Astyanax mexicanus: one gene and its partner. The protein of the gene in region 2 purifies or fractionates together with the protein of the main gene of each other region. This does not show direct contact. Links are inferred from orthologs where the notes say so. Each region holds a gene or a part of one and is shown on either strand. Other genes may lie near its edges.

What was found. Proteins that work in one complex are often made in the same cells at the same time.
Region 1: the proteins of hsd17b10 (region 2) and trmt10c purify together in Homo sapiens (co-immunoprecipitation; 3 studies listed by BioGRID and IntAct, counting the BioPlex papers as one, with this or other methods). This does not show direct contact. The link is inferred for Astyanax mexicanus from reciprocal best matches to the Homo sapiens genes HSD17B10 and TRMT10C.

What each region holds. Positions count from the first base shown.
Region 1 is NC_064428.1:8,572,680-8,579,668, reverse strand, and holds trmt10c (tRNA methyltransferase 10 homolog C), read right to left. Parts: upstream 2,813-6,989; 5' UTR 2,373-2,812; coding exon 846-2,372; 3' UTR 510-845; downstream 1-509. Other genes in the region: txnl4b (thioredoxin-like protein 4B), read left to right, coding at 3,964-4,095, 5,395-5,546, 5,907-6,072. UniProt on the Homo sapiens protein: Mitochondrial tRNA N(1)-methyltransferase involved in mitochondrial tRNA maturation. Component of mitochondrial ribonuclease P, a complex composed of TRMT10C/MRPP1, HSD17B10/MRPP2 and PRORP/MRPP3, which cleaves tRNA molecules in their 5'-ends.
Region 2 is NC_064420.1:33,488,962-33,496,622, forward strand, and holds the start of hsd17b10 (3-hydroxyacyl-CoA dehydrogenase type-2), read right to left. Parts: upstream 3,008-7,661; 5' UTR 2,931-3,007; coding exon 2,907-2,930; intron 576-2,906; coding exon 411-575; intron 207-410; coding exon 42-206; intron 1-41. UniProt on the Homo sapiens protein: Mitochondrial dehydrogenase involved in pathways of fatty acid, branched-chain amino acid and steroid metabolism. Acts as (S)-3-hydroxyacyl-CoA dehydrogenase in mitochondrial fatty acid beta-oxidation, a major degradation pathway of fatty acids.

The sequences.
Region 1 (6,989 bases), on a different chromosome or scaffold from region 2:
TTAATATTGAAGACATAAACACTATGAAGAAACTCATGCACAGTTATGAAGCAAACATTTTCCTATACTTACAACTTTGCCCACTTTTGGCTGATTTTTTCAGTCTGGTTCATATGGTAGAACCTGAAATGGTTCTCCAACTGTTTCAAAAGAGGTTCTAGAGATGCTGAGCTCTTGTTAACTGCTTTTCTTTCACTCTAAGGTTCAAGTTATCCCAAAACACCTGGGTTTGCACTTGTGTTCGGTTTTAGTTTATAAATCTTCTACATTAATCTACAATGTAATAAATAAACCAATAAAGAACAAAAAAATAATAAGAATGTTTTTTTTTTTTTTTACTGTAAGATATACAGTGCAAGTCAAATGTTTACCACACATTCTAAAAATGTTTTGTTTTGTGTTTTTACTTGATAAAAAATAATTTTAAATTAAATTCAAATCACATCTATTTGATTTAAAACAAAATAACAAAAACATTGTTAAAAACGTATGAATTACATCATTAAATGTTGCAAGATTATTCATGTAAATTTTATTTAAAAAAAAAATAATAATATTCAAATGCATATGTCAGCTTTTAAGCTCTAAAGGCACGGACTCACTGGTCATTTGAGACAGTAAACAAACTGGCTACATTTATAGTGTGACCACTGTTAAACACATTTCAAACTTTATCTATACCTCTGTACAAATGTAACACTCAATGAAATTTCTTTTGAAGGTTTACCGATAGTTAGACAATAACAAATTTACTGCCAAATTAATTTTTATTCAACTGATACATTCCATTATTTTCATTATTAAGCTATACACAACAGCAAGTCTTTGGTCTCAGAGTCAAAAGTTTATGTTCTTTTCGACCACTTCTTCTTTTCCCTCATAGCTCTACTGTGTTCCTCTATTTTGCTTTTTAGTCCAGTCCGTAATCTGGTCTGTCCAAACATCTGCTCTGATTTAAACGCTGGTTTCTCTTCTGTCTGATTCCTTATCCTCCTTTTGCTCACGAATAGTGGGGCTCGATCTCTCTGAGACCCGCTGTATGTGGTTGCTGTTGCTCTGAATGGTGCTGTATATGGAGCACTTGTAACATCAGGAACACTGTTCTCAGTTTTTTGCTCGTAGAAGCCACCGTGCTTCCTTATGGGCACGAACTCCAGAGCCTTCTCCCAGCTGCCGGTCTCCTTGATTGTTATCAGGATCTGGATCATCTGGTCCAGGGTGAGGTTCTTGGCTCCGCAGTCCCATTGCAGGTGCTCATTCAGAGGCAGACGAGCAGTGGCCAGCTTGAGGCGCTTGGCGTTGGCCAGGGAGACTCCGGACTGGGCAGAACGGTCCACAAAGGCTCCTATGATGTACACCTTGTTGTGGTCGAAGGTCCGGAGAACGTTTGGAGAATCGGCAGTGAGGTAGACAAGGTTCTCACGGGGGAAGATGTCTACGTGCCGCTGGCTGGTGGTGGTGATGAAGAGGCGTTCCCAGGTCTCCTGGCCATAGCGCTTGAGAAGCTCCTGATGGTAGACGCTGTTGGGCTGCAGGTTGCAGAAGTGCAGGTGGAAGGGGTCCACAGATCGTCGGTTCCAGCCTTCACACTGTAAAAGCTGGGAGACGGTGTTCTTCGCGTCGTGACTGGACATGTGCTGGTCATAGCTCATGTCAAAGACCAGTGGCTGACCGTACTGCATGGCCTGCGCCGATCTCCAAAATAGGAGTGTATCCAAGGATCGAGACCAGAACTTCATCAGGAAGGTATTTTTTAACTTGACATCAGCTTTGCTGTCGACATCGACCCCTTCACGGTCTGCCCTCTCCATTCTCTCTGCCATCTTTTTCTCCTTCTTCTCCATTTTGGCCTTCTTGTATCCCTCCTTGATGGACAAGTGCTTGAGGAACTTCCTCTTGGATGACTTGGTGGTCAACTTGGACAGCGCTTCCATCTGCTCGTCTGTGAGGCTGTCAGGAACCAACCTACCGGCCAGGCGCCACGCGTCCACCAGCATGCGAGTCGCTTCCAAGGGAGAAAGCTTTCCTTCCACCTCCTTGCTCTCATCAGTGGAGGTTTCTTCTTTATCTTCGTCCTCAACTTTATCCTTGGTCTTGACCCTATCTTCCTGCAGAGCCACTGTGCGCATCATTGACTTCCACACATCCAGGTCCAGCTTGGGTCTTGCTTCCTCATCTTTGGGCTGAGGGACATCTTTCCTCAGGATCCAGGTGGTGCTCAGAGCACGGCTGGAAGTAAGTGCTGAGGATGGAGTGGAGATGAAGCTGGATGTGGGCAAACCAGAATAATGACATTTTAGAGCTGCTGAAGATGAGGGGCGGCCGCAGCACCTCCTCAGGACCCCCACAACCTGCAACCTGAGGAACGTCATGGGCAAAACTCCACTCCACAGCACAGGGCAGCGCTCCACAGCACAGGGAAATACTCCACTACACTCCTCAGGACAGGGCAGCACTTCACAGCACAGGGCAGCACTTCACAGCACAGGGATAATCCACTCCACAGCACTCCTCAGTACAGGGCAGTACTCCACTCCTCAGGACAGGGCAGCACGGGTGTTTCAGTTAGTTAGCTATGGCAGGCTAATGAGCTAGCTAGCATGCTAACATCACAGGATATCAGATAAAGCAGAATAACCGGCCACTGCTGAGGACTAAATGCAGGGCAGTTAAGCATACCGGGCTCCTGACTGAAGCACTCAGAGGCGCTAATCTCACTCTCTCACTCCATCACTGCCTAAAACTCACTCCTCCACACCTCGCTCCCTTCAAAGTCACGTTGAAAAAACAACGCACACACTATTCCCGCCGTGCTGAAACACACACTACAGACAGACGTTCCGCATTTCGCGGTTCCCCATCCTTCAATGCCCATTTTTCCGAGAACATGAATAAAAATATGTTGTGCACCTTCTAGGCATAACGTTAGCCCATCTGGATGCTCTCCCAGAATTAAGAGAGTATTTTTAAGATAATATCTGTGAACAATTCTCAACCTACACTTAGAGACTTCATCCCTCCACGGTGCAAACAAAACCTCCTTATATTTCTCATATTTTTTTTTAAGGAAAAGTGTAAAATATGTAAATCACTGTTATATAAAAAAAGTTTTTTTTTCAATCTCTATTATCCCACTTAAAAAACTTAAAACAGTAATAACTTCTAAGTATTAAATGAATGTCATTATACTCTCAGTCCTTATTTGACCTACATTATTATAAACACATCTTGGTAAACTTGATAAATAAAAAATGATACATTCATACTTTGAAGCCTTATTTTTCTTTTTGTTTGTTTGTGTTTTTGTTTTATTTTAGTATAATTTACAGTCACTCACTATTAGTTAATGAGAACAAATTCGTTCGTTTCCCCTCCCAGCGTCTTTTGCAATAGGCAGAAACAACACTAGGCCAGTTTAACCATCCATAAACACCACAGCATAAAAATATACAAAAATAAATCAAGCAAACAACAAAACTAATAAAAAAAACATGCTTTAAGTCTAAAAAATGAGCATTCCAAAAATAACAAGAAAACACACAATAAAACCATTTTCGGTTTTTACTTGTTTGCAGAAAATACATACATGGCTAAAGAAGAATATATCATTTAAAAAAGAGAATACGGAATTTAAAAAAATGTTTCTAAAAGTGAAGCAATTGGGTGTTTTATTAATTTCTTCTTCTCTTTTGTATTTTCATTAATTCTACACTATTTTTTATTTTGTGATTATTTAATATTGTATATCAACACAATTAAAAGAAAAAGCGATGTGGTAACTAAAGTTTGCAGATAATTATATATAATTATATAGGTTTAAGTAGATTAATATATTGTATTCTTGTGTATAATACAGAGTGTAGTTCCGGCGTGGGCCTGCAGGGGGCAGTATCTCAGTATTTCAGTAGCTGAGTGCTCCGCGAGCTGAGAGTGCAGCAGGTTCATCTGCTGGTTTGAGTAAATATGAGTTTATTTCTGCCTAAATTAAGCAGTAAGAAGGAAGTGGACGAGGCTGTGAAGGCCGTGGCGGAGAAGGTGCTGGTGCTTCGGTTCGGGAGAGACGAGGACTCTGTCTGTATGCAGCTGGATGAGATTGTAAGTGTTGTTTTATTGGGTTAGCCTGTTAGCTTAGCATCTCTAAAGCTATGGCCAGTGTTTACACATGTAGCCTAGCATTCAGTTCAGCCTGAACCACCCCTGTCCTAATTACACATCAGCTTTAAACATGTTTATTTATAGGTATATGTTTAGATAAATTGAACATAAAACGGACATTTATTTTCAGAAAATGAGAAATGGCTGAAATAAAAAAGAGACAGTGCTTTCTGACCTCAAACAATGGCAAGAAAACAAGTTCATATTCATAAAGTTTTAAGAGTTCAGAAATCAATATTTGGTGGAATAACCCTGGTTTTAAATCACAGTTTTCATGCATCTTGACATGTTCTCCTCCACCAGTCTTACAAACTGCTTTTGGATAACTTTATGCCTTTACTCCTGGTGCAAAAATTCAAGCAGTTTAGCTTGGTTTGATGGCTTGTGATCATCCATCCTTCTCTTGATTATATTCCAGAGGTTTTCAATTTGGTAAATTTAAAGAAACTCTTGAAGCTATACAAGGTCATCTCAAAAAGTTACTTTATTTCAGTAATTTGATTCAAAATATTAAACTCATATAGATGTATTATACACAGAGTGATCTATTTTAAGCGTTTACCAAAAATCAGTGTCTCAGAAAATTAGAATATTATATAAGATCAGTTGATACTTTTGGCAGTGTGGACAGTGTGCCAAGTCCTGCTGGAAAATGAAATCTGCATCTCTATAAAAAGTTGTCAGCAGCAGAGGGAAGCATGAAGTGCTGTAAGATTTTGTGGGAAAACAAAACTGCACTGACTTTAGACTTGATAATAAAACACAGTGGATCAACACCAGCAGATGACATGTCTCTCCAAACCATCACTGATTGGTGGAAACTTCACACTAGACCTCAAGCAGTTTGGACTGTGTGTCTCTCCACTCTTCCTCTCTGGGACTCTGCTCCCGTGATTTACAAATGAAATGTAAAATTTACTGATGGTCAGTGATGGTTTGGAGAGACATGTTATCTGCTTGTGTTGGACCACTCTCACATGCATGAGTTAATATGCTAAACTTTATTTCTGTGGTAGATTTTTGCTGTTACTAAGTTGTTCATTTTTTTTGTTACACTAATTATTTTACACAAAATCAGGGTCTTAGTAAGTTATGTTTATGAATATTTAATGAATTAAAATGACCAAAATAGAATGAAACTACTATTTATACTAAATAAATCATTTTTTGCAGACTTTTGTCTGAAAGTCTCATTAGTGAAGAGCCTTACCAATCTTAACATTCCTTTTCTCGTGGCAGCTTTCAAAAACCTCTCACGACCTGAAGAACATGACCTCCATCTATCTTGTGGATGTGGATAAAGTACCAGTGTACACCCGATACTTCGACATCAGTTACATTCCCTCCACGGTCTTCTTCTTCAACGGACAGCACATGAAGGTTGATTATGGGTAAGTGATCAAGTGGCTCAAATCACGCGATTAGAGCTTATTACTGGTATAATGTCTGAAGGTATGGCTATAGGTGTGTTGAATGTTGTGCCATAAGGGTTTGGGATTTGTTAAAATGCTTTACTTAGATTTCTATGTGCTAAAAAATGCTTTCACTAACGTTGATGCAGCTGTTTTAGGCAAGCAAAATTATTTAAACAAAAGTGTAAAAAAAATACAGAATAATTTATTAAATTGTGCCAAACAATGTGTCATTTATTTAGTCATATTGCAATATTTCCTCTAACATTAGGATTGTTGTAAGCAGCAGTGGCACAGTGACCCACACTTGTGCTAATATTGTGCTCTGTGTTCTTCCAGGTCTCCAGATCATACCAAGTTTATTGGATGTTTTAAAACCAAGCAAGACTTCATTGATCTTATTGAGGTGATCTACAGAGGAGCCATGAGAGGAAAACTAATCGTCCAAAGCCCCATCGATCCAAGAAACATACCTAAATATGATCTGCTTTACCATGATATATAAATACTGGTGTCACTATAACATGGAGCAGAGCTGGGCACAAACTGACATGCTACAATAATAACTTTTCTGGCAACTTTACATTTCATGGTACCTACTAGAGCTGCATGGTGCATTGACATTGCAATATATATTTCAAAAGAGGTAAATGATTCAACATTTCATAAAAATATTAATAGTGCACTATGTGTGCAAAGTAAATAAATAAATAAATACATTTGAAAATATATGACCTTGCATGTCATGCGATGTGACATCAACACTGCAATGATATTTTGTGCAGCTCTAGTACTAAATGCATTCATCTACCTATAGATGCACCCATTGCTAGTATAGCCAATGGAATAGGTCTTTCTAGAGCAGGTGAACATGAACCTGTTGGCATCATATCTAATGCCATTCATTGTCTAGTGGGCCATTGAACTGTGTAGCAATGGAACACCATTTTGGAATGATGAAGCTCCATCCAGTATTATTAGAAAGGGATGAGTTGGGGAGTTAAAGATGAGGTGGTATAAAATTGAATTAAATATTATTTTGCAAAGGCCAGGTGTTCAGTTGTGCCCTACTCCGCTCCGCTCCATTTTCCTTCATTGCTGTATCGCACCAATTAGCCATAGCATTAAAACCACTTTGCCCATTATTACGTAGAGTCCCCCCACCACAGCAGATCTGACCTGTGTAAGTGTCCTGTGATATATGGCACCAAGATGGCATGAGAGACACTTTAAAGCCCCTGGAAACACAATTGCATATATTTATTTATATAGATATTTTTGTATATTACTAAACCTTGGGTGTTATGCACTCTGCAAAGTTAAAATATGAAACAAAGCAGAAATATGATAAAACCCTCCTGAAATACAGCCTGAGGTGTGTAATATGTACATCCCAGGGAGGGATAGGGGCCATTGTAGTAT
Region 2 (7,661 bases):
TCGTACAGGCAGTAGCAGCAGTGAATATGATTAGTACTCACAGTGATAACCCGAGTGAAGTCCTCCAGACTGTGAGGGATCTCTTTTCTGAAGTTGTACGTCTTGGCAGCCACCGCAATGCCAGCACAGTTCACCGCCAAGTCCAGTCGGCCAAACTTCTCCCTAGCCAAACTCACAGCTGCCTGTACATCTGACTCTGATGTTACCTGAATCATGAGAGAGACATTATTTCTGGTGAAACTTATGATTAATACTGGCTAGATTTAAATAGGCTAGACTTAAATAGTCACTTGAGAATGACATCTCTATATGAGTTAAGATGATGCAGATTTAAGGTGGAGGGGAATCTTTAAAAAACTGTCCTTGGGGAAAGCATTTTGTAGGTTCTTGTCATGCCGTATTGTACTTACATCAGCTGGAGCAAAAGCACAGTGGCCCCCCAGTTCTGTGGCCACCTTGTGTCCGTCTGAGCTGGGCAGGTCCAGGATCACAGCACTGGCCCCTTGGCTGAGTAGCCTTTCCACTGTGGCTCTTCCCAGACCTGAGGCACCTCCTGTAACCAAACCCACCATACCCTATACCAGAGTGCGAGCACACAGATATATTACAATTAAAAAGTAGAAAACGATGTGGGATTAAAGGAGAACCCCGTTGTGAAAATGAACCTGGGGTTTACTGAAACATGATAACGAGAACAAACCTTTGTTGAACAGCCCACCTCCGTTCACCCCCAGCATTGCCAAATACAGCACTTTTAGCCAAAGCTCCCAACAGACTCACAATGCTAGTAATAGGGGCATAGCATCATTCACGCAAATAAATGGCTATTTTTACACCATTAACTAGCACAAAGTATTTAATTTTCTTTAATTCTGTGGAAATGCATGAATTCCAGCTGCTGCTGTAAATATTTCTGCAATATTCACGCATTTTTGAAATCTGTTCTCCCATCCTACTTTGTGCTAAATCAGTCAACTTATCAAAGTAATTTTTATATATAAACAGTATTCTTTATAAACTAGCATGATGGCCTTTAATAACTGGTCATATGAATCAAAACATTGGAAATCTGTAATCTGTTTACTGTAAATAAACTGCAGCGCTTTACTCACCCAAATGAACGGTTTTCAGGAGAGAAATGTGTGTAGAATAACATTCAGTATTCGTTTGACTTGGGGTTTTTTTTTTTAGAATTAGTTTTGGTTACTTAGGCACCTCCAGTGGCAAGACCTGCAGAATTACAAGGGTCCTCTATTATCGCCGACCTTACATTTCGCTTAGCTGGAAATATGTATACTTTAGGTTTTATTTTAAAAAATAACAACTCTTTCATGATATTGGTGGCTGATTATGTATATAGTTATGCATATGTTTGAATCGCTGGGCTTATTTGTGTTGACCGCGTCTTTGCCTGCCCCGCCTATTGGAGGCATGGCATTTTAGCACTGTGCCTATGTGATTCGGCGGCTTCCAATGGTGTATAATGACATCGCATTTTTCCTATGTGGGAATTCAAACTCTGATTACGTGAGGAAAACAAGACGAAACCCTTGTTCGCTTTTTAGGGACCCTAAATACTGATCTTTAAAAAAAAAAAAAAAAGACAGCACAATACAGAAATGCTGTGCGTGCTCCACACAGTTTTTTTTTTTTACACGGAGATTTACAAAATGTTAGCAATACTTAAATAATGTTTTGTGACAGGATTTTTTTGTGAGAATAAAGTTTAAGTGTTTGTCTAAAGCTGAAGCTGACATGTTTTAAATTCCCTTAACGCAACTGTCAGCGAGGGAAAGGAAACTGCGGAACTGGCTGATCATAGGGGTACAGCTGATAACAGGGGACCACACGTTAACTACCTGTGCACTTTTAAAGTTCTCAGTGCCTAGGTTTAAAAATGAGGACCCTCAGAATTCTACCAATGAAGTGAGGAGCTATTTTGAGCTAGTTAATGGTGTAAAAATACAGATTTTTTTGCAAGGGCAACTCTATGCCCCTATTGCTAGTAGTGTAAGCCTGTTGGGAGCATTGGCTAAAAGTGCTGTATTTGGGAATGCTGGGGCTGAATGGGAGGTGGGCTATTCTGCAAAGGTTTGTACTCTTTATCATGTTTCACTACAACACAAGTCCATTTCACACCTGAGTTCTCCTTTAAGGCAAGTATTGATCTGCACACATGTTGACACAGTTTGAATGGAAATGTTTCCATAGAAAGGAAGACATGGTCTAGCTAGTACTAGGCTTATTTATTGTGTGAGAAACTGGTCCCAGGTACGTTAGCTTGACAGACAACAGCATTATCAAAGAATGAGGCGAGTTTAGCTAACTAGTTAAGTTAATTCGTTTTATGTAAGACCTGGAAAATAGCCAGTATTTTAATTACCTACAGTACACGTTCGCGAACTACTGGGTAGCAATGAGTATTAAGTTAGCTAACGTATTTAACGTTTGGTTGTTTTTCTTAGCGTTCAGTTGTATTTAGTTCTTGAATAGTAAATAATAATTCATATCACAATAAATAAAACACTGCCAAAGTGGACCAAGGCTCAAGGGGGCGTGCAATAACCTGCTAAAGTACCACATATAAAACAGTATTTCGTATCTTGTCCTAATTATCCGTTCCACCTTAAATAGTTCAGCAGCCCCATTCTACCATACAGACAGTTTCATATAGGTCACAGCGTAACGTTGACCAAAGAGACACTATTTAAGGTGGAACGGAAAAATCCGGATAACTTCAGCCTCGTTTTAGCCACAAATGCGAGCTAAAACTTCTGCACACCGGCCAGCGCTATTACTACAGAACGCCATGCGTTAGACAGCAACCAGGCATTTCTATTAATGTACAGACTATCCAACTCACGAGGAGTAATATGTTCTCTCTTTTCTTTCAATCCGTTTCTCACCTTGACACTTCTGATGTTCGCCATGTTCGCCACACTGCGCAGGCGGTGCTGTGGAAAGACGTCACGGCAGGAGCTGCACAAAACTCCACGGAAACGAGTTACTAACCAATCAGAAAGGTGGATTTGACCAACGCCCCTTATTCCATTGGCTAAGTTTGATTTGATTGACACGCGCGTTTGCCAATCAGATAATAGCTCAGTAATCTTAAGGTCATGTCAGGGAAACTTGGCCATGGCCTTCAAGTTTTTTTTATTTGCTAGGTTGAGTCTCAGACATGAACTTACTTTTTTTGACATTTATTATAGTTAACCCAAAAATAGACACTTTAAAATTTGTGTAAAGTTCCTTAAAGTACTTCGTCCGTCATGTTTTTAAGTTCACGTAATTCACTCACTAAATAACTTTAAAATACTGAACATCTTAAGAGCATCATTACAGGACAGTGTGTGAACGTGTGTGATCATCTCACATTAATAAAAATAGCTCCTTTTTAAAAAGTATTATTGGCTTTTACAGCTCTTTTCCCGATCAATTCATTAATTTAAATGCTTTAATGAAGTGTTCCACAATCCATATAACAATTTCTAAACTGATTTAATAAAAATAAAATAAAAGCTATACAATTGTTATGTCATTAACATTACATCAGGATTTTAACCTTAAAATATTTAATCATTTGCTCACAAGAAGAAAAAAAAAACATGAATGAGCTGCTCATAGAATTTATGTGATTCGATTTAGAATATGGTGTATTTATTTAGAAATGGGTCTGGACTTTTATGGATTAAAATTATTCACTTGCACTCATAGCCTCTTCATTTATTTAGCAGCAAGTGACCCAGAACACTAAAACAACTAAACATCCTATTGTGGCAGACTATGGCTATGCTACATTTGCCTAAATCTGTAACATAGATAAATGCAAGTTTCTCTTAACACCAGCCAAATGCCATCAAAAGGCAATATACCACCTTTTGTGTTTCATCACACCAATTTACCAGGCTTTATGCAGCCTTTAGATCAGAGCCTTGGAGATACACAAACTGAACCTGTTGTATTTCTTTACAACAGGTATTACAATTTTTTCATACCATTTTTCTCCTGCTTCCCCCATATAAGATCTACGACCTGCTAAATAGTCCAGCCCCAAAATCAGCTCGTCATACAGAGAAATAATTAAAAAAATAATAAAACCCAACCATACCCTGTGCTGGTCAAGAGCTAGTTAGCGAGCTAGCCAACCAGCATAGGGTATGTTTTTTCTAGATGACCAGCTGGTCTGGGGTGTGATCACTGTATATAACTAATACATTGAGGCACACACACAAAAGGCACAGCTTCATTCATAAAATGTGTTTATTAATACTTTCACAACAGAAGACAAAATCAGAAGAAGGCCATTACATCAAATCAAATACATGAAATAAGTATACAGCAGTGCTTGATAATAGCAAATTAAACAACCAAAATTAATTTACATTCTGAATAAAGTCATAGGGGTACAAAGACTCCAGTGTGGAAGGCAGTAAGATGTATAGTTATCTCCAGTCGGGGCAAATAATACAATGTCCCCACAACAACACAACTTACTACCTCAGCACAACAAAGCCACACACAACCACAAACTGTAAAGTAACACAGCTTCAGAGTCCAGAATTTCTGTGAGTAGAGCATGAAGTAAAGCAGAAGCTGTGAGAAAGACAGTAGACTGTATAGTTATCTCCCAGATCTGGTGTGATCCCAAACTATACAAACTACTACCTCAGCCCACATCTCCCAGCACTGCAGCCCACGGTTCCCAGCACTGCAGCAGCACACAGCTCACAACCTTGAAAGAGAAGAAATAGGGATATTATATACAGTATATTCAAGACATTCACTTAATTTAAGAAAAACACAAGAGCCTTTTCTTCTACTGCTGTATAATCCAAGTTAACATTCACCTAATAGAATTCCATTGGTTAAGAAATTAGCTCTATAATATTTCCATTCATCTGACACAGCTTTTTTTGGTCATTATTTCAAACTGGCTTCTCTAGCAGACATGTCAGAACATTGCATAAAACAAACACTCAAACACAACTCATTAAGACCACATTAGCCTTGGGCTGAAAATCAGCTTCCTTGTCATCTGCAAAAGTACACATGTAATGTAGCAGTATAGCAGTTTTAGGAGATTCAAAAAATACTAATAATACTTACCAACCAAAGCCCAAGCGATTTTTTGACAAACTTCAAAGCTTCTTGAAACCTACACAAAGAAATCGACACATGATAAAACCAGTCATTTATTGAGGAACAAAACACAGAGCAATTTTAAGGCTGTTAATGTCTGAACATGAATATGGTATTGTTGCAATTAATAAGAGCATTTCCATTATATCTGAAAGAGCATCGCAAACTGATTGCCTGGGTCTCTAAATGTACAAGCATTCTTCAGTACTTTAAGACACTGAGTACTAAACCCTATAAAGATACAAAGCTTAAAAAAAGGAATTAAAACTAAATTTAATATGACATTGTTTAAAATGTGGACTACAATCATTACATCATTACACATACATACAGACTTAAATGTGCTATCTTTCAAAATATCGCTTAGCTTTTTAAAAAGCAACACATAACCTGAGCAAGTAAGCAATGCACACCTCAACCACTGGAGCTATACTGAACAAATCAAATCATTCCACCCCAGACTCAAGGACCATCATATTGATCCCAAATAAACTTTAAGACAGAACACACAGAGGAGATAACTTACACAGTACAGTAATACATTTTATACTGATTCGTCTTGCAATAAATGCAAAAGGAAGATTTTTACCAACATACTAGGAGGTCAGAAGTCAAGATGTTTTAAATCTTTACCATAGAGTCAGTGACTCACCCATCAAGGCAACATCTGCAGTTTCTAAAGCGGCCATTGAAAAAGTCTGTCCTTGTATCAAGTCTAAGCCACCACAAGTTTCACAATGATGTCTGATACTTTTCACTATGGCACCAAAGGCTGGCCTGATTGGCTGTACTACTCATCAAGGAATGACAGAAGGCTTTATACTCAATACATCTTGAGTTGTGCCTGACGATGTCTAAACCTTAGATGAGACAACAAACCCACTGCTGCAGTTTCATTCATCAAGGACATAAGGTTCTTCAAGCCACTCTTTCACACTGCTATGTAGACAAGTCTAATACCTTTGGATCAGATGCATGTTTCTGAGAAGAGTTTCTGCACTCCTACAGCTCTTAATAATCACTGAGCTGCAACAATCTGTTATATATGCCTATATATCTGTCAAAAGCAAATATTGCTAGATCTTGGCCATCCATCCGCATTTTGAGAACCATTTTGTGTTGTGTAACAAGACAATTCCAAGATTGCATCTAAAGCATGGTGTCACTCATTCCTTGCACTGACACTTTCCCAGTGGAACACCCTTCTTTTGGACATATGTATCTTCTCAATTTTGGGGGAAAAGTTATATTTATTATAAATAAGAAATTGAGATTGCGTGTAAATTAAACGTTAACATATAACTAGACACAATTACATTACAAGAATATGTGGCCTTGATAATGTGTCTAGACAAAGTGGCTTTACGGATCTGTAGATTACTAGTCAATTAAACATAATTAATCTCTTAAACAGAATATATAAAATGGAAATGTGCTAGCTAACTAAGAAAATATTTGTATTGGATACTTAACTAATAATTCGTTAGAGCTTGTATCACTTTTTTAAAAAACTTTTTTCTAAAACAGTTTGACATATTCCCCAGATCCACGTTAACCCTTTAACATGCCTTATCCTGTATACAGGCTACAGGTGTAGGTGATACAAAACCCTCTTTTTCTGCAGTAAAATAATGTATTTACACTCTAAAAAATTTAAGGGCTTTGAAATCGCCTACAGGACACTTGGAGAAGCTGCCTGTTAACTCTCTACCCCACTTAATAATTTCAGATCAGTAACAGGAATCAACCCAAATTCTGCATGTTTGAAAATGTACGTAAAGACTAGACAAATATAATGAAACTAAAGGTTAGGAGCGAATTAACTGTTGAAAATGTTGATTTTAAAATGAAGTTCAGGGAGGAGCCAATTTTATGATTTTACTCATTATATTTTGACATTAGCCGATTTACTTGAATATTTTTTGTATATTGTCTATTACAATTACAATTATGCTTTTCAGTAATGTTCCTTATCAATCATGAAAGCTTTTTATGTAATGCTTGAATAGAAATCATTAAGATTTAGTGGTGCAATGTCAGGCAGACCATTGACCAAAATCCTGGCCTGTTAAGGGGTTAACCTAGGTAGCTAAAACTTTAACATACAGTAAACCTACAGTTTAGAACAATTTAACTGATTTAAGTATTCTTCTGAAGTACAACACCCACTGAAGCCTGTTTATTCAGAACCTCTCCCTCTCTCACTGTCTACAGACAATGTAAGGTTTTTTTTAGCTAATGTGCTTCGTACATTTAAGGTTTTAAACGTGACAAAGAGCTAGGCTAGATACCTGTGTAGTGAAGTTAATTAGTTAAGGTAGCCAGCCCCCTACATAGCGTTAGGTTAACTGTGTCTGTGGTAAAAGGGCATGTCTCTGTGTCAACTTTAACTGACTCATCCTAGCCAGCCACATCCACCCAGTGTGTAGGGGAACATGAGGACACGTCCATCTAGCTAATATCCGCATAGCAATACTTGAAGCCTTGAACGTTACAGCTACCGTTACATGCCAAGTCAT